Linked DNA regions of Schizosaccharomyces pombe. The protein of the gene in region 3 binds, or shares a complex with, the protein of the main gene of each other region. Each region holds a gene or a part of one and is shown on either strand. Other genes may lie near its edges. The genes, in order: spf1, shg1 and swd3.

Region 1 (10,979 bases), on a different chromosome or scaffold from region 3:
TATAGCAACCCGAAAAAAAAAGCGGAATAACGATCACACGGCACACAATAGAACGAAATTATAGGGGAGCAAAGCAGAGTAGGGCAAAGCAAATCACGTAAATACGTCGACAAATATTATTATAAAGTGTAAAAAAGATTTAACAATATTGAGAAGACAGATGTGCAGGCATATAAACGAGAAAGGCGAAAGAAAAAAGAATTAGTTCGTAAAATCAATCAATAGAAAGACTTTTTTTCGAACAAGTATTATATTGCTCACAAAATCAAACGTTCAAACAAGAACAAGGGAAATTAACAGAAAACGAAAACAAACAGATAATAAATTAATTAAAAAATAGTAAGTGTGAAGGGGTAGAGTAGGTTTTTGTACACAGACGTTCCCAAACCACCGTTCTCCAATAAAAATCCAAGGATAAAAAAATTGCAAATGAAGCCGGAACGGATTCTACAAACAGATGAAGAAGAGAAAACAACTTCAACAGTGTAAACGATAGGAAATAAACCTTATGGAAGAACTTGGTACGCCAAAGCAAACTATATGAAGCCTCAGTCCGCTTCTTTTACACTCAGGTATAATCCGTAAACAAGTCGCAAAACGCTCCGAAAAAAAACTTCAGAGGAAGCAAACTTCAACAGAATTAAAGAACCACCCAAATCACCTGAAAGCTTTCAGTTTCCACGTCTAAACGACAAATTTTCGAAATTTAAAACGACAAGTCCCTTGTTGTGTGTTTGGGGGACGGATGAAGCGTAAGCACATGCTACGTTATGTTTTCTTCATGATCCCATACTCAAACTCGGCAATGACTGTCCTGTGATGTCATAAATAACGATTTTGTTCGTAGTATATAATACCCTACCGTAATGTACCGCTCTCATCTCCCGGAGTGCGTTATTTCCTGACCTCGTGCCCCAGACAACCATCGCTCGGAAGCGTCAGGGGTCTTGAACGAGTCCACGTAACCGAGCCGGGGCATCCTCCATGTGGGTAACGTGTCACCTGCTCAAGAGAGAGAAAGACGAGATGAAGAAAAAATGGAGAGAATGGGCAAAGGAGGTATGCCAATTTGGAAAGCGAATTTTGTGCATTTCAATTACTGATGCGGCACTCGTAAACCTAGAGGTCCTTGAGCCAAAAAATTTTGAGCCTGGGACGCTAGACGGAGCGGGTTTGTTCGGGTGTTGGTCAGCTAACGGGTTGGGAATTGCATTGGCATATGAAATTACCAATAGTAGATTTGAGATCAACTCGGGATATACAGTTAAAGTGAAGTGTTTAAAGAGATTTCAAGGTGAGGCGAGAGGCTAGAATGCTCATGCAGAGCATGCACCCACGATCGTACCATAGAAGGGTGACAGATGGAGGATAAACCAAGGAAAAAAAAAGTTTAATAGAAGAAACAACGTTTAATGTTTTTAAATTGCATGAGACAAAGCAATGTTCTCAAATCAACAAGGCATCTTCTAAGCCAGGCTGCAAATGTGTAATGGACCAATGGAAAAATTCTTACTCACATGAGTAAACGTATAAAACTAACCCTCCGTGTGAATGGTAAACCATGTTACACAGATAAAGCAGCCAAGATAACAGAGAAGGAATTGTACTGTGTGTGTGAGAAAATATTCACATGATAGGTGGTGCTTAGGAACCAAGCAACTGGCGGATGCACAGAAGAAAATGGTAGAGAAAAATGTCAGAAAAACAAAGACAAATGAAAAAAAGAAAATAATAATAAACACTTGAATGAATTTACGGATGTACGTTCCAGTGAATGAATGAGTTTACGGAAAAGAATTGGGTTGGTTTCGCCTCCCTTTTCCCTCCCTCTTTTTCTCCACAGTGAAAAGATAAGATTTTAAAAAAATTTAACATTCAGTTTAAGGAAGCAAACACTTTTGATAGATGGTTTGAAGGCCGCACATAGTTTGAAGACAAAGAGACGAAGTTCAGTTGAGTTTGAGATTTCATAAAATGGATTGTTTCAAAAAATAAAAACAAATTTTTTTTTCTGTTCTGTGTCCTAATAGACATTAGCAATACTATAAACAAAGCCACCACATATTATAACATGGATGAAGAATTCACAAATCAGCATGGAAAAAAATTCACGGATCAGTTGCATAAATAAAGCTTGCATAACTCATCGACAAAACATTGGATAAATAGACTAAGATAGATACACAAGATAATAATACATAAATAAATTACAGTGAACCAAATTTTAGAGAGGGGGTAAAACGTCAAAAGGTTTTGTTACACCAATTGACAAATGAAAATGAAACGAGATCCATGGATCACTAATAGAGGAACATTTTGTTTCTCCATTAATCCTCCTTTAATGATGCATCGTCATCCACAATATCCCAATGACTACCATCTAATCGAGGAAAAAAGCGGCCGACTTTATCTTGATACACTCGATATAACGGATATTTTTCACAGGACATCTTTTCGGTAAGTCTGGTCGAGCCTTGAAAAACGCCCACTAGTCCAAGCCATGCAAAAATCGTCCAATTCAATAGTGATTCTGAAGCGATCGCTCCAAATAGATAAAATGAAAGCCAAATAAGTTGTTCTGCTAAAAAGTTGGGATGGCGACTCCATCGGAAGAGCCCTGTAGCATTGAAACCACGTCCAAGCGACAACAAGTCATACTTAAACCGAGGTGGCACGGTTTTGTCGACATTGTAATGATTTCGCGCTTCATAGTAATCCCATTGCTGTTGGTCGGCTAGCATTTCTAGCACAAACATAAACATGAAAAGCTCGAGTGCTATCCAATCCCATGCTCCAAATGCTCGTTCGTTTCCAGCCAACATGGCAATATACGTGGGAGATGCAAGCAAATATAGGTGGAGCACTTGAAAGATATGAATGTAAAAATAGTGGAATAATGGATATATCCATTTAGGCATGATTTGGCGAACTCTCACCCAACGATAGTCCTCTGCTCCTCGATTATAACCTCCTTTACGGTAATAATTGTAAGTAAGACGCGCGGACCATAGAGTCTGCAAAAATGCCATAATCATTAATCTTCGCGAAGCAATGTTGTATCCCAAACCATAAAACAGAAAATGCAAGGAAAAAGCCGTTGGCAGAATTGGCCATAGCCGATCCACTTGCGATGTATTTTTCGTCCAAACAGACACTCCCCAAAGCACATTTCCCAAAATAAATGAGAGAAGTAGTCCTACAACAAATGGATTCGTATTATAATAAAAATCTGCAAAATTCAACTTTCCAGTAAACAGTAACTTCAAATTGCTCAGTTGATACAGGTAAGGAGATACTGCAACTTTCCATTTTGCGGCATCAGATGCCGAATAAATAATTGGCATGGTGGATGCCAAAGTCATAGTGCTCGTTTGAAAAAGAACAATGGGAATGTCAGAAAGTTGGCTTTCTATAGCTCCACGAAATCCTCTGTCTCATTGTGACGTTAGCTTCTGGAATAAGAAGGATTAGTGAAATCCAAGGAGCCTGCGTTTTCCAAAAAATAAAATAAAATAAATTTCAAAACAAAAGAGAGAGAAAACCTCAAGGCCATTAAGACATGAGTTGATAAAAAGAGAGGGTGTAGAATGTATGTCCTTATGTTAAAAAGTGACTTTTTAGAAGGAAAAACCAAATTACCATCTGTCAACATTATTTTGCGAAACAGGGAGTCAATAAATTTAAAGCCAAAATTAAGAGACAAATGCCAAGCAATATAAACTTTTCTTTCATTAACATTTGCGAATCAATGCCTCGTGATTTACATGAAATGATCTAGAAATTAAAGCAAACTTCAAAATTGTAAATTAAACCAAAAGATGCATCCTTCTGTTTATTTTAATAAATTAGCCATTTTTTCGGGAGATAACTGTTCATGACAAAATCGAGCATAACCGTCGTATTGTATCCCGGGTAGGCACCTCTGTTTTTGATGCTCCAACATTACATCTTTGGCAGTTTGCTTCATGTTTAGTTTTTGTAAAATATTACTTTCTTGCAACTCAAAATCTTCGGTAAAAATTACCTGCCAGCTTGTGTGCTTTGCACATCTTCGCTTCTCTGTAAAGCAGGTGGACTCAGGAGAAGGATCTATACTCATGTCAAGAGATAGCGGTGCTCCATTTGAAACTTTTTCCCACAATTCATTCATTTGTTGTTGATTGAATAAAAGTCGAGAATCGAATCCACACAGATCTTTCTTAATACCTTCTCTTTCTTTGTAAGCAAGAACCGCTCTCCGCGAAGAATCTTTGATCAACTGAAGAAATATTTTTTTGTTAGATGCTACTTCTTTCTCTTTATTTAATTGCACAATTTCTGCGTTCAGCCTATTGGCCTCCTCAATTTCAAAATTGTACACAACTTCAGGAGGAACTTGGCTTGGCAATGTCGGTCCCACCGTACCCAAATTTTGAAATTCTTCCCTTTTTTTTGCAAACAATACAAGATTTTTTATAGCAGAAGGTTCAACCGTACTCAGCTTTACTTTTTCTCGAAAAAAATCGACTCCATGTTTATCACTACAATAGTTGGAATTAGGTCTTGTGGGATTCGAGCATTCTCGTAACCGGCATTTTCTTTTCCAAGTAGTTATACCCTTTCCTTCTTCTGTGCATTTAGGACAAAAGTACTGTACAGTTAAATCATTATAAGATTCAGGTATATTAACGCAAGTGCCATGAAACCAATCTTCGCAACCATCACATCCTAACATCCATGATCCATCATCAGGCTTTTGGCATATACAATACAATGGTCTTTGATGATCGGCTGTAGACAGATTGAGTTGGCTATTCGCATTTCCTCGGTGTTTTCGTGGACCCCTTCTATGAGCTGATACGGGTGGTTTTTTGGGTATTGTAGGCTGTTGAATGACTTGCATTTCTATGTCTGTTTCCGTTGAGGAAGAATCAACGTGACCGTTGACTTCTTCAACCTCCATTTTAACAGATTTATTGAGAATTACGTTGGCGTCTTTCTCTTCCTCATTGTTAGCTGTCTCGATATGAAAATCAGTAATGGTGCCTCTATTCGAATCCTCAAATTTTACAATTGATTCTACATGAGTTTTTTCATTTTCCTCAGTATTCTCTTGCGTTAATTCCATTATTGGAATTTCAGTTGTCTAAGTCTGTCAATAAGTAAAATCTAAAGAAAGCGAGCTTAAGCACAGTACACTAAATGCATTAAAAGGAACTACAAGCCAAACCAAAATACAAAAGAAATGGGGTCTGTCAAAACAAGTTGAAATTTAAACAAGTCGTATATTAATATCAAGCTTAATTAAAGGAGACAATTATTTCAACCTTGACGGACGAACTAACCATGCCTATATAACTCACAGAGGTTACTGCGGTATCTTCAAGAAGATTAAACAAAAAAAAAAAAAAAGGAAAGAACGCAAATACACCAAATAATAAATATTTTTAGCCCAGATAATCTCATCCAAGACAATCACTAATGTAGCAGAATTGGATAGAAAACAAGACAAAACTGCAAAAGAAGATTCCATTAAATTTCGTGAAATTAAATCAAATACTCATAAACACCCAAATATTAACCCAATTTGCGAAGGCCAGCTCGTGTTCTGTGTAGCTTTTTTTGGTTTGCATATGCTTCATTAGAAAGCTCGTCTAACATGGAGTTTTGCTCGACAACTTCTTGATTAATCATTTTCGAAAGCTCCTTCTGCCTTTGAATAATAGGCAATAACGATTCTGCTTGCATATCTTGATCTTCCATAGTTTGATTCTGCATGTTGTACAGTCCTACATTATCAAGCTTTTTTGTTGTCTGTGTCTCTGGCATTCTGTTTTTTCCAAGGACTCTGTTCAAAGAGGTATTAGATTGTTTGTCAGTAGATGCAGATAATGGGCGAAAGGGAGAACTAGGATTAGAAGAGTTTAATTGAGATGAGGCAGAAGGAGGAGCGACTGGGCTGTTTGCATTTTTAACTAACCGTTTAAATGACAAGAATTCAGAACCAAGCTGTTCTAACATATCTTTTCGTCGAAGGATTTCTCCTGGACCAAGAGCATTTGCTAATTCTAATTTGTCTAACGATTCTGAAAGGTTATCCATTAGCGACTTTATTGCATAGACATTCTTTGTTTGAACTCCTATCGTAATGCTTTTTCCACTCATTAAGTCAACTCGGTACATATGTAAATTACGTTTACAATCTTGAAATACTTGAATCCAATCTGTCGGACCCAAAAACTGACCCTGTGTTTCATCTTCCGATTCATCTTTAATATTTAGAAATTTTTTAACCACAGGCATTTTTATCCATGGCGTTTCTGAAAGGCATTGAACGTAAGCTTGTAAAGCAAGTCGTCGAGATTCACGTAACTTTTCATTTGTCACAGTTGAAGAAACCCAAGATTTAGAGGGGAGTTTGCAAAGTCTACTGTTGTAGTCATTTGGCCGAATTTGAGCATCCAAAGCAACGAATTCATTGAACCGACGAAATACAACATGTTTCCCACCATTCGGAAATGCTACTTCAATATGGTAAACCGTCCATCGTGAATATTCATCAGAAGACTAGTTGTAAGTAAAAATTAAAGGAATAAAGCTTACTTGAGACGTTTCTGGTATTTTAATTTTTAGCGCCATACTTGCTATGAACAGGTTGATCAACAATGAGTTCATGAACAACAGACTACTGTATCGGATTTACTGCACTATCGTTATAAAACTGTATAATGTAGAATTTGAGCTTTCAAATAGTATAGGTTCTATTAGTTGAATAAAGATAAATTTCAGTTTCATGATGCTTTAGATCCTTTAAACCTCATGTTTTCCTTGATGCGCGAGATGCCTTTACGATTATCGAATTGGCAGGTATTGAAAGAAAGTTTACCAGTTTGCAATAGATTTAGAAATTAAAATAATGAATTAGGTTAGTATATTATCTTATACCTTTAAACACTTTATAGTCAGATTATTGAGTATTTTTTTTGGCACTCGTGAACGGTGCAACTTACAAGTAATTACAATACCTAAACAGAAGAACGGCAAAATCTTAACGAAGCTTAGTAATAAACAGAAATTGTTTATTTTCTATATTTTCCTACATGGATTGGTTGCAAGCGCGACTTGCCTAAAGTATTAAAAGCACAGAATAAACGCCAGATCGTAACATTATGCAAAAGTGTAAGTATAGGTAGATTCCAAATAACAACAGTACTCTGATATGCATAAAGATTTTTCACTTAAAATACATGTCATGTAAATATAAAGGCCCCACAGATGATATATAATAGTACTAGTGGAACTTAACAACTGTTTTTTCATATCACGAGAGGGAAAAATATACAGCGAAAAGACTTCTCACATTTGCTTAAAGTATAACCATATACTGCTTTTGAACGATCATCCAATTCAAACTATGCGACCCTAATAGATGAGAATAAAGGACGAAACATCCCACAATGGATATCTTTTAAAAGAGTTCGGAATCAATTTGAAACCACAGTCATTAAATTACATATATTCATAGTCAGTTCCACACATGATGTTCAACTCAGAAAGAAGAAATCTGCCTCCTTCATCAGAAATAAATTCCACCGTGAAAACGAAAAATGAAAAAGAGAAGAAAAAGGGCATTAACCTGATGAAAAAAGTTTGACGTTACCTCACTGAAATTATTGAACACGAGTAAAGACATATAGACAAATTTGGAAAATCCCATAACAGATACAATGAATTAAGATAAGCCCATGAGAACTTCCACCAGGAAGTAAACAACCAACTAACTACATTACAAGAAAAAAAATGATGTAAAAGAAACAGAACTCGAACTTTACAGAGACAATGCCCAGCAGATAAAAGTGATAATCCAAATTTGTGACAAGTAAGCACCCACCACTTGGAACATGGCGGACCAATTCATTGAAAACAAAATTGAATAAGGAATAAAGCAATTCCACAGAGTAAGGAAAATCATCAAAAATAATGATTGGGGAATAGGCCTTTCACTAAACACGACTCTTTGAATAACGTAACCAATTGGTACATGGGCAAGATATTGTAACGGGAGCGGAGGGGCAACGAGACTAGTAACAACGTTATGGGAGTTTCCAAGAATAAGACCGTTTAAGAATATCTTTTGTGATATATAATTAAGCACGCTGATCAATACACTCGCCATAATTGTGAATAGGAAAGAGACACTATACTGTGTGTTGACTTGGTTTGAACATTTGATGGGGTTAGCTCTAGAGAAACAGCGCGCCACTAGCAAAGAAATGGCGTCAATTATGAATGCCCAAGCAATTTGACTCAAAGGAGTAAGGTAGTAGGTCGAGAGAAGCACGTATACTGGATATTTCGTAAGTAAAAGCCATCCATAACCTAGGTTGAATTTCTGCAACAGAAGAGATTGACCAACGTGCATAATAATTGATAAATAACTCTTTCAATCCATTGTTAGTAAATCTAAACTTATATAATGATCTGCATACCATCCAGTAAGGAATATCACTTTCCACCACCCCCGTGGAAGCTAATAATCGTGGATTGAGGTGATAATTTAGCAAGCCATAAGTTAACGTGTGTAAAAATAGGTAAATGGACACCTTTATGGTGTTTGAAGACGAACAGCACTTCGATCCTGACATTTTGCGAATATTGGTAGTTTTCATATAGTTTGTCATCGATGAACACACAAGTAACGATTGATCAGGTAACAGTATCTTCAAACAATGGAGTCTGTGAAATGGTAAATAATGAATCAGCAGGAAACCAGGATCCTTTGAATTTAGGTAGTAAGTCTATGGAAAACCAAAATTATATTTTTCTTGAAATTCCGTGTTATTAAATCTCTAGGATTAGTTTGCAAGAAAGTGTTCTCCGTGCAAACATTAGAACCGTGGGATTTTAAGCATAAAATGGGTACAAAATGAAATATAAAAACAAAGAATGACCGATGCCTTTATTACCATGAATAATTATGTGTTTTGAATTATCCCTAAAAAAAAAAAACATTACCTTTATTTTCACTTTATTAAAATAATTTTAACTTATTCATGGAGTTGGTTCATTAACTTAAATGATCGTAAATAATAATCCAAAAAACCTTATACTGCTAATTTACTAGTACCTTTTTTTTTATTTTATTCTTTTTTAAAAAAGAAAAAAGGGGAAATTAGCGACATATATTATGGACTTAAATTTTTCTAAGTACATTACTTTACGTATATGCAACGATTAAAATCAAACTGAAGTAAAAAGGTGATTTTTTATAATTCCTAAAGTCAAACAAAATAATTATTTAATAACATAAAAACCATGAGGTGATTGACTTGAGCGGTAATTTAATATATCAAATAATTTATGTTATTTCAAATCTCTCTTCCCTTAATAATCTGATAATCTATAGTCACTGAGAACACATATATAATAAAAAATGTGCTATTTCAAAATATTTATTCCATTATAGGTAGCTTCATTTTTCATGAGAGAATCGCCAGTGTATATTGAAAATTCATAAAAATAAAAAGCTAAATATTTCGGACAATTGAGACAAAAAAACCTATAAATATATATGTACATATTAAAATAATTTTTTGAAATTTATTAGAATAATCAAGCTCAAGCTTTTGCATTGAAAAGAATTTATACATAAAACATGAATGTCTAAGTATAAAAATTTGAATTAACTAGTTGCTTATATTTCTACCTTTGACATAATGTTATTAAAGAAAGGAAATAAATACATCTGAACGAAATAAATTATAAGTTTATAGGTAAAATGGTTATACAAAGGTGGAAGTACTGTTGGCGTAACTTATTTTTCTGAAGCATTAATGCAAACACCAAACCCGTGCCAACATTAATACTCCATATCTGAAAGAGATAAGTTATTCTATATAGTAAAAAGCTAAATGATTATCAACAAAGTCGATACAATTGCTATATCGGATTTTATATTCACTGATACTCAAAGAATATCAAAATACAATTACTGCATTCTTTACAAATTCTGGATTTCTTTTTGGTTTAAAAAGAATTCATTGAGGCGATTTGAGGATTAGCAGCATATATGTCAAACATTTAAAAGTGTAAACAAAGTATAGAAGAGCTAGCAAATAGCGGAAAAAGGAACGCCCAAAAACTTTATTAATATTAAATATAGAAATTTCTTATGAAATGGCAAGTTTAATTCAAATATGCCAAAAATCTCCTTGTTTTAACAATCGAGAAAACACAGGAATTCACAAAATAGCCATGTACTTGAAAGTCCTTCATCGCGAATGTATTATTGCATTTAACATATATTGTTCCAATTGTACTGCCAGACAAACCAGAATAATATTTTTAACAACATAGCGTGTTCAAAAACTCAACTTGACTTTTCATCAATTAATCATTTTTTGTCGAAATCGTTACAAGTATTTGAGAGAGCGTAATGATTACATTACTTAAATCCAGCTGATGATGTACAAAAGATAATAATTGCGGTTTTTGAAAATGAAAGCGAAGTTTAGAAAAGGGCTTGCTATGTGCATACTGAATGTTTAAGCAACATAAAGACGATTCTATTCGAAAACCGTGCAGAAATACAAGACTTGCTGTTTCGTTTGCTAGATCAATCGATAGTCAAGATTATTTTATACATTAATAAATAGTAAGGTAACTGATCAATCAATAAATTTAACCAACAAATTGTTTCTCGCCATGTAATAGTTTTAGAATTTTTTAGATATTTACCAAATAGTGATACAGAGCGCGAATCATGATAGTGAGTTCTTGAGAGGACTACCATATCGCTTTCATCGATTACAAGCTAGTTAAATCATTAAATTATCTTTTGCATTCGGAACGATCTTCCTCACTATTCCCTTTCCTTCTGATGCTATTCGCTCAGTTTTCGCATTCCATTACCAACTTACTCCCCTCTCTTTCAATGGTAAGTAAAGGGATATCGAGATGTTGAAAACAATGGTTTGGATCGATTTTAATCAATTTCAATT
Region 2 (6,993 bases), on a different chromosome or scaffold from region 3:
ATTAACAGCTTACAAAGCACAATTTACTTTTTTTTTGAGTCCAAAATATGTAAAGAAATAAATGAAATCAAATTGGGTGTATTGTTTCTTTACGTATTTGCCATACAGTTTACAAAATGTCAATGCGCTCAATCGCAAATAGGGTACATGTGACTTGGTGGCTTTTTTTGTTGGGAAGGCTAAACTTTCCGCAACCAAGCCCAAATACTTCTTCAATTTGCATAACTTGTACAGCAGCTGGATGGTATTACTGTAGCATTGTTTTTATCTCTATAAAATCAGAATTTTCTTCTTTTTTTAATTACTCTCTCAGAAGTGTTGGCTTCAAATCAATCTCTTAAAAGTTTTAGTTTTTACCCCCCCTCCAATTGACAATTCTTGTCTAGTCCAAGTTTGTCGTCTGCTATTACTGGCATTTTCAATAATTTTTATTTATTTTTTTTATTTTTTCTTATTTGTAAGGATATAATTGACCAAAATTTGGATGTTTACTAATTTTTCTCCAGTTTTTTATTTTGATAATATAAAACTGACTTTCTCCGACGTCAATTCAGTTTTAATATTTTATACTACTATTGCTTTTGTCCCAGGGCAACTCTTTTAGTGACCAAAATTATCTTGTACTACTTGGCGGAATCGAGTTCACTGGGTTTTAATAATATAAGTGATTCATTAGTATATACGTTTTATCTCACCTTATATTTTTTCCTTCCTCTTAGTCCAATTAATTACACTGCCTAAAAAGCAAGCAAAGAGTGAGAACCAAAAACTTGCCTCTTACTAGAATCTGTTAAAATCTAGCATTATCTAACTTCAACTAAAATACTTTTATTGCAAAATTTCTTTTTGTGTGCTGAATCTACCAAGCACGAATATACAACTGACCTGATTTTATTTCGCTGGAAGCGTATATTTGATGCCACCATGAACAAAATACTTTTTTACTTTTTTTTCTTTTTGACACTAATTCTTTCCGCTACTGTTTATCTTTTTGGAGGTCCAATGATGCTGTTCTTTATTAATTATAAGACAGACCTTCTTAAAGTTGATGACGTTTATAATCATGAAATTTATTCAAACCAGTCTGCTGCTATTCCTAAAATTATACATCAGACTTGGAAAACCAACGAAATTCCGGAAAAATGGGTTGGTGCCCAGAAAAGTTGCATTGATCTACATCCTGATTATGAATATGTATTGTGGACTGATGAATCCATGAGGGAGTTTATTGCTACTGATTATCCTTGGTTTTTGACTCAATATGATTCTTATCCTTACAATATTGAACGGGCTGATGTCGTTCGATACTTTATTCTTTACAAATACGGTGGAATATATTTGGATTTGGATGTTGGTTGTAATCGAACCCTTGATCCCTTATTGCATTATCCAGCATGGGTGAGGAGAACTTCCCCAAGTGGGATTAGCAATAATGTAATGGGATTTGCTAAAGGGCATCCATTTCTTTTACAGGTGGTCAGAAACCTACCTAGATTCGCGTTTAATTACCACTTCCCTTACCTAACCGTAATGTATTCGACTGGTCCATTGTTCTTGTCGATAATATGGAGTGCTTGGCGGAAGCTTCCAGATGCCGAAGCTTGGCATCATATTTGGGTGATGGTTCCCGAATTGTATGAAAAGAGCCACCATGCATTTTTTGAAATTTATGAAGGTTCATCATGGCACGATAGTGACGCTGGATTTGTATTCTATATGTTGCATCACTGGGCCATTTTTACATTTCTTGGTTTTTTGACGTTTTTCATTGTTGTATATTTTATATTTGGCTATGCTTTGAAGCCTGCCGCTCGTGTCTCCCGCACTGGTCGACGGGTATTTTCATCTCCGTTTTCTAAGACATCTCCGTCCCGTTGGAAGATTTTCCATCGTTTCACTTCTTCCAATGAAAAGTATGACCAAACTCGTTCTGATTCTTTACCTTTCATGTCTGATTATGATTTGGAATCGCAAACTCAAAGTCACAGTCCCTAAAATTACTCGGCATTTGCTACTACAAAGGCTTCATTTGCTTTGAAGTTTTGACCTGTCTATCTTTTCATTTTCATAGAATTATCATAAATCCTTGTATTTCATTTAGTTTCGTTCTAGTTTTCTAATATAGTCTATTAAAAGCAAGTAATTTCACAATTGTCTACCGTGATCGGAAAGGGATATATACCATGAAATGACTCAAGTCCAAATCTATAAAAATAGAAATGCTAAAGATATTTTCGGAACTACTCATTTCAACTTACTTTTTGTTTGATGGATTTTCAGCTAAATTCTAAATTATACTAAAACAATAAATTATTCAACATAAAAACGGTGTTGCTTAAGTCCATCTGTATGGTGAGACAAAGATAGACAAAATACCATCATCGTCATTGTTTATGCGACGCATCTAGTTTTTTATTTGTTTTTATTATTTGTTTTGTTTTATTTAATGCACAATTACTATACCGAAGAAAACATTGTGTTGTACCGTAAGTTGGATACCGAATTAGTCATGCGCCTTTCGAGGCGGCATAGCATTAACTGTATTCGTTTGCAGCACCATTTGACCGTTTACTGTGTGCAATTTACTTGTTCTACTAAATTGGCTTCATAATTTATAACATATTTTTCTGATAACAGCGAAAACTATCATTTTTTCGATTGCTTTTCATTTACAGCTAAATTCTGGTTGATTATTAAAAGTGTTTCTTTTCGGAATTAAAGTGTGCAATTCAGTTAAGAGTTCTGTTTGCTGTCCTTCCTTAGCTTTCAACAGTTTGTTTGTTTTTGAGGCCTTTGTTTTCGTTTTTGTCTCTTGTTGCTTCCAAACTTTAATACATAAACACAACAACCCCATATACTTTCGTATTTTGTTAGCAATAGATTTGAAACTTACCTTATCTTCAATTTACTAGAAGGAAGGCATATTTCTTTGAACTTTTTCTTGGATAACATCAAATTGGTATACGGAAGACAATTTTCAAAAGCTTTTAACATTAATTTATTTGTTTTTTGTAACTTTCTATCCTCCATTCAATTGTTTTAATAAAGCTTTTCTTTCCAAAAAATGACAAAATCTGTTGAGGGATACCTCAAAGAACAGGAACTTGCCGCTGAGACTGATTCTGAAAAGGACGACGATAAAATATCAATTCGTTTAACTAACTTTGTCGGTCCCAATGCACATTCTTTCTCTTTTGATCCGTTAGTTCGCTACTGGAACCGCAAGCAAAATAATCTACCCATTTACATAGGAAGATACACAGAGCGATACAACGGCGGTGATGTTTCTGCTATTGTCTTCCGTTCCAAAGTTGTGAGTAGAAGGCATGCACAAATATTTTATGAAAACAATACTTGGTACATTCAAGATATGGGTTCTAGTTCTGGTACATTTTTGAACCATGTTCGTTTATCACCGCCGTCAAAAACGAGTAAGCCTTATCCCATCTCGAACAACGACATATTACAACTTGGGGCGGATTATAGAGGAGGTCATGAAGTCAACTATCGTTGTGTTCGTGCCCGAGTTGAGCTAAACAACTCTTGGAAAATTAAGCTTAGTCCTTACAACCTTAACGAATTCAAAAGAATGCAAGAACTGGTGTTATGCGGATCTTCTGAATCGGGTCCTCCGGAATGTTGTATATGTCTTATGCCTGTTTTACCTTGTCAAGCATTGTTCGTTGCACCTTGTTCTCACTCTTATCACTATAAATGCATACGCCCAACCCTAAACGAAAGTCACCCATACTTCAGTTGCTTTATATGTAGAAAATATCATGATTTGGAGGCTCCTGTTGAAGAAGGTGACGAAAGTCTAAATGACCTTCTACGAAATGCAACGGTAAAAGACGATGCATCTGAGTAAACTGTTATTTTCAGTATGGTTACTAATTGTCTTTTACGTCCTCAAGTTCTTCCTTTAATGACCATCGTAACATAATGATCATATTATATTTAGTCTTTATGAGCATGGCAGAAGATTATGGGAACACAGGCTCTTTGACATTTGCTGTTGCCTGATGATTGAATTAAACAAGCATGCCTCCCTAACTTTATTTATCAACACTCATAATGATTAAATATTTTATTGATGAGAAAACCAAGTGCTACTTGGTCTCTTTTATTCATTACTGCATTAATATAATTATCCTAAATGGATATATAATCTTAACTTCTGTCGTCCTTCACACCTGATCTCTACATACTCTCACATTTTTTTATTTTTTTTGAAACATTGGCATCACAAATGAATGTACTAATAATCAGCAGTAATAGAGATCCGAATCTGAAAGAATTGTGGTTGTTCTTCTGAGAGTCCATTTATTATCTCCTTCAGCATCATTAAATGTTATAACTTTTAATTCACTTCTTATGCAACCTAATGTGATTGCTGGTAAAATTCCCGAGAGTACAATTCTTAATTGTAATAAGTATGTTCAGTATATGCAATTTAGAAGTAATCAATAACAAAACTTTTTCAAACTTTTAAGTAGCTAATTATCTTCATTTGCGCCCATCCATGGTTTTACTATTCAGCAATTTTTCTTCATCCTCATGCTCTATTTGTTCAATCCCTATTTGTTCAAGAGAATTATAAATAACTTCCCTCAAATCTTGATCAGATAAAACATTGCTTCGGATGTGTTCCATGCTATCTTCATACAATGAAGATCTTATGGGTTAGACTGAGTTTCCAAAAAGAAAAGAAAAAAAACCATTATTAAGTCGTAAGCTTACCTATCTACGGCACCTGCAATTAAAGGAGCAGCCCTAAACTGGTCTTTACTTTTGAGTGTGCGATCTTTCACCATTTCTTCATCAATGATTTTTTTCAGCCGATCTAATAAAGGCCCTGATTCCTGAGGCGATGTTAGTATGGCAAAAGAGTGAGTGACATTGGTATCATTATGATAGTTAAAAAAAATAGTGATAGTTTAATTTTTGAGGAAACTATCGATGACCCTACCTTTTCATTTACTGTTTCTAGAATTTGTTTTCGAAGGCGATCAAAATGTCCTTCTTTTTTAAATTTAGATACAAGTTCATCAACATTAAGTGTTACATCCCTATCCATGCCTTTTGTTTATGAATTGACTACACGGTAAAATAATGTGGTAAAGAAAAGAATTTTCACGAAATGTAAAGATTTGATTACAGATTATTCGGCCATATTTATACTACCTTATTAATAAAACTCGAGTTATTTTACAAGACACATTTAACTTGAATTAATTGATCGTGTCTTGATTGCTCAATGTAAAAGTTCTTGAAGTAATATCTCGCAGAAGGGACTTCGTACAATCACCCTGTAAGAAACACGTACTAACGAGGTTTAACTTAAATGCGATGTTCTGTTGTTAAGGCTTTACTTTGACCGTTTGGCTAGTGAATTTTCTTATGTGTTTATGGTTGAACTTGCGTTATGTAGGTAGTGCAATGTGAGTTTCCCATCTAAAAAATTATCAAACTTCTGTTTGGTTTCGCGTATTACACTTACAATTAAAAGGATTGGCATTGGTTCCTATTGCTACAACAAGTAATACATGAAAGTAAAAAAAAGGCATAAAATTATGAGCATTTGCAAGTCCTAATGCTTGTATTATACCCACTAATGATCAATTAATATACAGTCAAGTGGTAACTATAACAACTTTTCGAAAGATAAGAGTTAAAAACCTGTTTTAAAACAAATTAGAGGTTTTTGGCATATGCCACGTGAAGGCCAGAAAATAAATGAAAATGTTTTACCGATACTAACCAAAGACACAGGCCTATTTTCAAAATGTGGTTGTTTTTCTGAATTCATTTAATTATAACTGCTTTTTTTTGGTGTGCGCACAATACGTCGAAGAATTTGTTAACTACCTTTAAAATTTCAGCTACACCAAACTTTGCATCTACGCTCAACAAACATTGCAATTACTATTTGCATCCCAGTCTTTTAATATTGTCATGAAAAATCCAATAAAATGGGCGATTATAGCGGTTTTGCTGTCAACCGTCGTGGCTGTAAGTTTTTTCCTTGTCCTTTAGAACACGTCTCATTGGTTCTTGTGCAATACAATCGTGATTAGTTTATTGTTGTACAAAGACGAAATAAATTCCGTGCAAATATGCAGGTGATGCAGAATTTACTTTGTCTCAGTAATTTACGATTTTGCTATAATCGTTTTTCTACATTCTTAAATCAATGATATTCACTTTTCCTTTTGGAAGAAGTAATGTTTTGATAGATAATTGAAATCAAAGTTTTTTTGCATTGAATCTAACACTACTTTAGAAAAAAATCGTTGGCGAAGGTATGGCAGACGTGTCAGCTATCAAACATCCAGAGGAAGTGCACCCAACAAACCGTGACTTTCTTAGGAGTTTGATCTTCTCTATATCTATGATTTTTGGTTGTGAAATAGGAGACAAGACTTTCATCGTAGCTGCTCTTTTGGCCTTTGAAAACTCTCGATTAACTGTTTTTGCTGGGTCATACTCAGCTCTATTCATCATGACATTATTAGGAGTACTTCTTGGGCACGCCGCTCCATTACTTTTTCCTAGAAAGTTAACGGACATTCTGGGAGGTGTCCTTTTTGTGATTTTTGGAATTAAAATGCTTATGGAAGCGAAGGAAGTTATGGATTCTAAAGAATCCATGTCTGACGAATTTCAGAACGTCCGCAACGAAATAGCTGCTAATGGCCCCATCGACCAATTGTTGGAGGAAGGGGCAGCACCTTCCCACTACACTGGTCACAGGTCTCGCTCTGGACATACTTTAATGTCGCAATTAAAATCAAAGGGACGGAACGTTATGGCTACCCTGTTTTCTCCTTTATTTATAAAGGCGTTTGCACTTACCTTTGTTAGTGAATGGGGAGATCGCTCCCAAATCGCTACTATTGCAATGGCTGCTAGTGATAATGTTTACGGTGTATTCATGGGGGCTAATGTTGGTCATGCTTGCTGTACAGCTTTGGCAGTTATTTCTGGAAAATA
Region 3 (4,328 bases):
TTGAGCTTATCATTAATGAATGTCCATCTTTTCAAGGTATTCTCTACCAATCCGTCAGCACGGGGTAGTAGATTCTTGCCTACGACCTTGGGTGCAAACAAATATGGAATTAACATAGGGTGTGGAAGAGGCGTTAATATCACCAAATAAACAAACATTAAGTTTTTATCATAAGGATAGGGCTGTACGGCGGATAGAAGAATTTGTTGAACATGATCAAAGTCGAAGCTAGTCATCAACTCAATTCTGTTTACCACAGTATCCGTGTCTTCATCTAACATAACACTGTAATTCTTAACATCTAAGGGGATCGCTTTAGCACCTACTGACTCTAACCTTCGGAGCTCCTCTTCAACTTTTTCAGCAATCCAACTTTTTGCTTTCTCGTCAACCTGCAAACTGTCCAAATCCTTATGTGCTGGGTTTTCACTCATTGAAAATCAGGTAATACGTTTTTTTCTCAATTATTTTAAGTTTGACTCGGCCAAATGATTTAATTCGAAAAAAGTTTTACCTTATTAGAATATCAGTAGTGGTAAAGGAATAAATATTAGGAAAAAAAAGTAAAAAATTTATCTCCCTTTAAAATCTGTCGAATTAAACTAGATGATGAAAATTAGTAACAAAATGAATATAACTGGTTTAATAAACGAGAAAAATTAGAAAAACCATCAATTTCAGGATATCAACTTGGCCGACATTCGTTCTTCGAGAAATCTTCTGTAAAGAATAATCGAAGACTGTATAAATTAATTTTATCTTCTATGTATCGATCCACTTAAGTTTTCATAGGCCAACTAGCCTTTGGATTGGAAGTAAGGAGCTTGTTTTCGCACGTAAACCTTTAGCATCATTATCTTCATCGTAATTCCAAGTAGTTTCTTTAAACTTTATACATTATTTGTCAACAATTCAGGTTAAGGTGAAAAGCCATCTTTCTCGTGCTTCGACAATAGAAGAGAAGGAGCCCAAACTCGTACATAAGGATCAGTTCCTGATGTGATTATGAAAGGACCTAAACTGGTTACATTTAAAAGTGATGTTTCTGGATCATCGGAATGCCTAATTGAATCGTCAATAATTATTTTTGTACTCGGATCTGTAATTTGGATTGTTCCATCTTCACTAGGAATTAAAAGATAAGCATCGTGCATGAAAGATTCTGCATCATCAGGGTAGGAAGAGTCATTATTGGGTAAAGCTTCAGTATTTTTAGGAATATTTTTAGAAGAATAGCAATCCCAAGACATAGAATATCTTGTATTCACGTGGCTATCAAATATTCGTACCACACGGTTTCGGCGATAATCCCAAAGACGGATCTGTGAGTTAAGATTACTTACAAGCAGATATTTTCGATTTTCTGTAAACTGGAGATTAGACAAAGGAACATTAATGGGTTCAACTAATGTTTTTAAACACTGGCCACTGAGAACATCCCAAATTCGTGCCATTCCATCATAACTAGCAGTCGCACATAAAGTTCCGTCAGCTGATATAGAAACAGATATAATAGGTTCTGAATGTGCAGGTAGCATCCTAAGGCAAGTTCCATCTTGAAGATTCCATATACGGACAGTCTCATCCCATGATCCTGACACCAAAAGCGTGCCCAATGGATTAAAGTCAATTGATGAAACGTAATTTGTATGACCTTTTAAACATCTCACACTGCACCGTTTTTCAAAATCCCAAATCCTTATGGTCTTATCGTCAGAAGCGCTAGCTAGATACTTACTACCAGTTGCCCATTTTACTTGAGATATTCCTCGGTAGTGGCCGAAAAGTGTACATTCAAGTCGAAACGTAAGTGCGCTCCAAATCTTTATAGTTCCATCGGATGAAGAGGTAGCGATCCATCGTTTGTTAGGGGAAACGCTGACACATGTAACACTTTTCTCATGACCGAAAAGAGTACAATATTCAGAGAATCCTGAATGTGATTCATAATTGCGAATGCGCTTATGTATTTGCTCCTCATCTTCCTCTACAACACCTTTCTGGTCTTTTTGTACTTGCAGGTCGTGGTTCAAAGGAAATTGTTGAGCTGTGGAATCCATCTTCTAATATACGATATGTGAAAAATTATCAGACCGATTGTTTGTACTTCTCGTAAAAATGGACTAAAGACAAAAATCGTATCAGGAAGTATTAAAAGGTTTATTGAATGATCTCAACAATCATAAACAAACGCCTTTGTCTGATAGTAAAATCGATCAATTTATTTCCTCTTTCTAGAGTCTATGTACAAGAAAAAAAGTTCATGGGCTTTTTGCATATGTAGATTATAAAATTACAATGATGCCAGTCAATTTTTTAAGCATCCAGCTTTATTGTATGCACAAGCAGTAACTGGTGTGGACAACGAAGTGTATAACATTCAACTAGCAACATACCACAATAATGACTATTTAAAAAACGCTTTTCTTTGGACTTATATTAAATAACTCAATAATTTGACTCGTCTTCAATAAAGTTTACAGGTTCATTTTCCTCGCAATTCACGTCGAAAACTACTCTGCAAAGGATATTCAGGAATATTGTCATTTTTAAGCCATTTAGTTCAAAGACTTAATAAATGGAAGTTTACTACAAATTGTACAATAATTCACGCATTGAAGTTATGAAAAAGCTTAGGGAATGAAGAAGAACGACTAGGCTCCTTTTACTGAAACGTAAAGTTTACAAGGAATTAATACAAAAACTTTTTTCTGATATTGCTCACTAATTTGACGAGGGTTCAATACTCTTGCGCTAAGGGTACGATCTTCGTACTGAGACATATCCTTTGAAGTTTTGTAATCTTCTAGTCTGTGAGTAGGCTAGTCCAATTTCTCTCCGGCCTTGCATTCATGAAGCTCCTGCTTGTTTGAAAGATACTAAAAAGAGGTTTCCTTATAATGAACCAAAATACGTTCTTTGCATAATGTCCTCATTCAATTAATATTGACTTTGATAGCTCCTTCGATATCAAGTTTTCCATTGCTTAAAGTTCTCAATAAGTAGTGTCTGTGATTCATCTCTCAACTGACTTCGAATGAGTCAACTCATAACTTTCAGAGTGATGCAAATAATTTAAGTTAAAAATGTTTCACTCTCGTTTGTCCCAAAGTTTTTTTATCCAGATAGCTGTTGTTCCACAGAAACATCTAAATCACGTGGATAGTAATTGCAAGAAAGAGGCTAACACTTATGAACAACTAGAATTACTTGTTGAGGTCATGAATTGGTAATCAATTTATTTGATCCAATCTCCCAATTACAAATTGGTAAAACAATATTGTGTTTTCATTTTTTGGTGAAACAGTTGGCATCTTAGATCGGTACACATATTAAGCCTTTCATCATAGCCTTTAGTTCCCTTCTTATTCCATATTAAATTAATGATCTTGATTTATTAGTCAACCTTGTTGCCTGGGTCGTAATGGAAATCGCATCTCCTTTTAATCCCTATGTGAAGTAAAATCATTTCAGCAGTTATTATTTTGAATTTTAATCGGCTTAAAAAACTTCTCTAACGCTTGTTAAATGGGCAATTCAGGCATTCATTACAGCTTCAACAAATGTTTATACTGGTATTATAGCGTATTTATTAACTATATAATGAAACGAAATATTTACTTGTTATCGCATTTAAGTGAATAGTTATCTCCATCGTTCTGCTGCCTTAATTTAATTCACCACCAAAACCTCAGTATGATACTTCACTGTCAACAAGAACCAGCAAGTTTAGTTGGGCAGAAATCTAATTAAATTATACAATATGAGTGATTGTAAGACCATGCTTTATTTCTTATTGATTTCTAACACTATACAGTACGATTTCTGGACCTTGTAAAGCCTTTCGCGCCATTCTTACCGGAGATTGCTGCACCCGAACGAAAGGTATGTAGCATATGTATCTCATAAGAGACATCGAAAGCTAATATCGAATCTAGGTCCCTTTCAAGCAAAAAATGTTATGGACTGGAGTCACCTTGTTGATTTTTTTGGTTATGTCTCAAGTACCATTATATGGAATTGTCTCTTCAGACTCTTCGGATCCTTTGCTGTAAGACTATTATTTTTGTTTAAATTTTAATTTTCTAAAGCTAATGACTTTTTCAGCTGGCTACGTATGATTTTAGCTGCCAATCGAGGGTATGTTTTTAAGAAATATGGATGAGTGAAGGTATTGTAACCATCACTGACAAGAGATTACTCTTTAACTTCCTTATTTTTCATTTTTTAAAAAATGTGTTTATGCATTTACTAACCATTATAAGAACACTCATGGAATTAGGTATATCTCCTATTGTCACTTCCAGTATGCTGGTTCAGCTTCTTGT

Evidence for each region.
Region 1: swd3 (region 3) and spf1 share a complex: the UniProt entries of both Schizosaccharomyces pombe proteins name them as parts of the set1 complex.
Region 2: swd3 (region 3) and shg1 share a complex: the UniProt entries of both Schizosaccharomyces pombe proteins name them as parts of the set1 complex.

The regions. Positions count from the first base shown.
Region 1 is NC_003421.2:360,372-371,350, forward strand, and holds spf1 (Set1C PHD finger subunit Spf1), read right to left. Parts: upstream 5,112-10,979; 5' UTR 5,108-5,111; coding exon 3,833-5,107; 3' UTR 3,389-3,832; downstream 1-3,388. Other genes in the region: SPOM_SPCC594.03 (uncharacterized protein), read left to right, coding at 985-1,311; SPOM_SPCC594.04C (steroid oxidoreductase superfamily protein), read right to left, coding at 2,328-3,362; vsl1 (SNARE protein Vam7), read right to left, coding at 5,557-6,546, 6,583-6,618; bouquet formation protein Bqt3, read right to left, coding at 7,808-8,419, 8,469-8,624; qcr9 (putative ubiquinol-cytochrome-c reductase complex subunit 9), read left to right, coding at 10,913-10,915. UniProt on the Schizosaccharomyces pombe protein: The Set1 complex specifically methylates 'Lys-4' of histone H3.
Region 2 is NC_003424.3:2,355,445-2,362,437, reverse strand, and holds shg1 (Set1C complex subunit Shg1), read right to left. Parts: upstream 5,120-6,993; 5' UTR 5,078-5,119; coding exon 4,970-5,077; exon of another isoform or gene 4,863-4,969; coding exon 4,741-4,862; exon of another isoform or gene 4,676-4,740; coding exon 4,507-4,675; 3' UTR 4,050-4,506; downstream 1-4,049. Other genes in the region: mannosyltransferase Imt3, read left to right, coding at 925-1,995; mitotic spindle checkpoint ubiquitin ligase Dma1, read left to right, coding at 3,065-3,868; gdt2 (GDT1-like protein), read left to right, coding at 5,956-6,012, 6,284-6,993. UniProt on the Schizosaccharomyces pombe protein: The Set1 complex specifically methylates 'Lys-4' of histone H3.
Region 3 is NC_003423.3:546,402-550,729, reverse strand, and holds swd3 (Set1C complex WD repeat protein Swd3), read right to left. Parts: upstream 2,367-4,328; 5' UTR 2,061-2,366; coding exon 918-2,060; 3' UTR 501-917; downstream 1-500. Other genes in the region: SPOM_SPBC354.04 (uncharacterized protein), read right to left, coding at 1-434; translocon alpha subunit Sec61, read left to right, coding at 3,764-3,773, 3,818-3,885, 3,939-4,051, 4,108-4,140, 4,266-4,328. UniProt on the Schizosaccharomyces pombe protein: The Set1 complex specifically methylates 'Lys-4' of histone H3.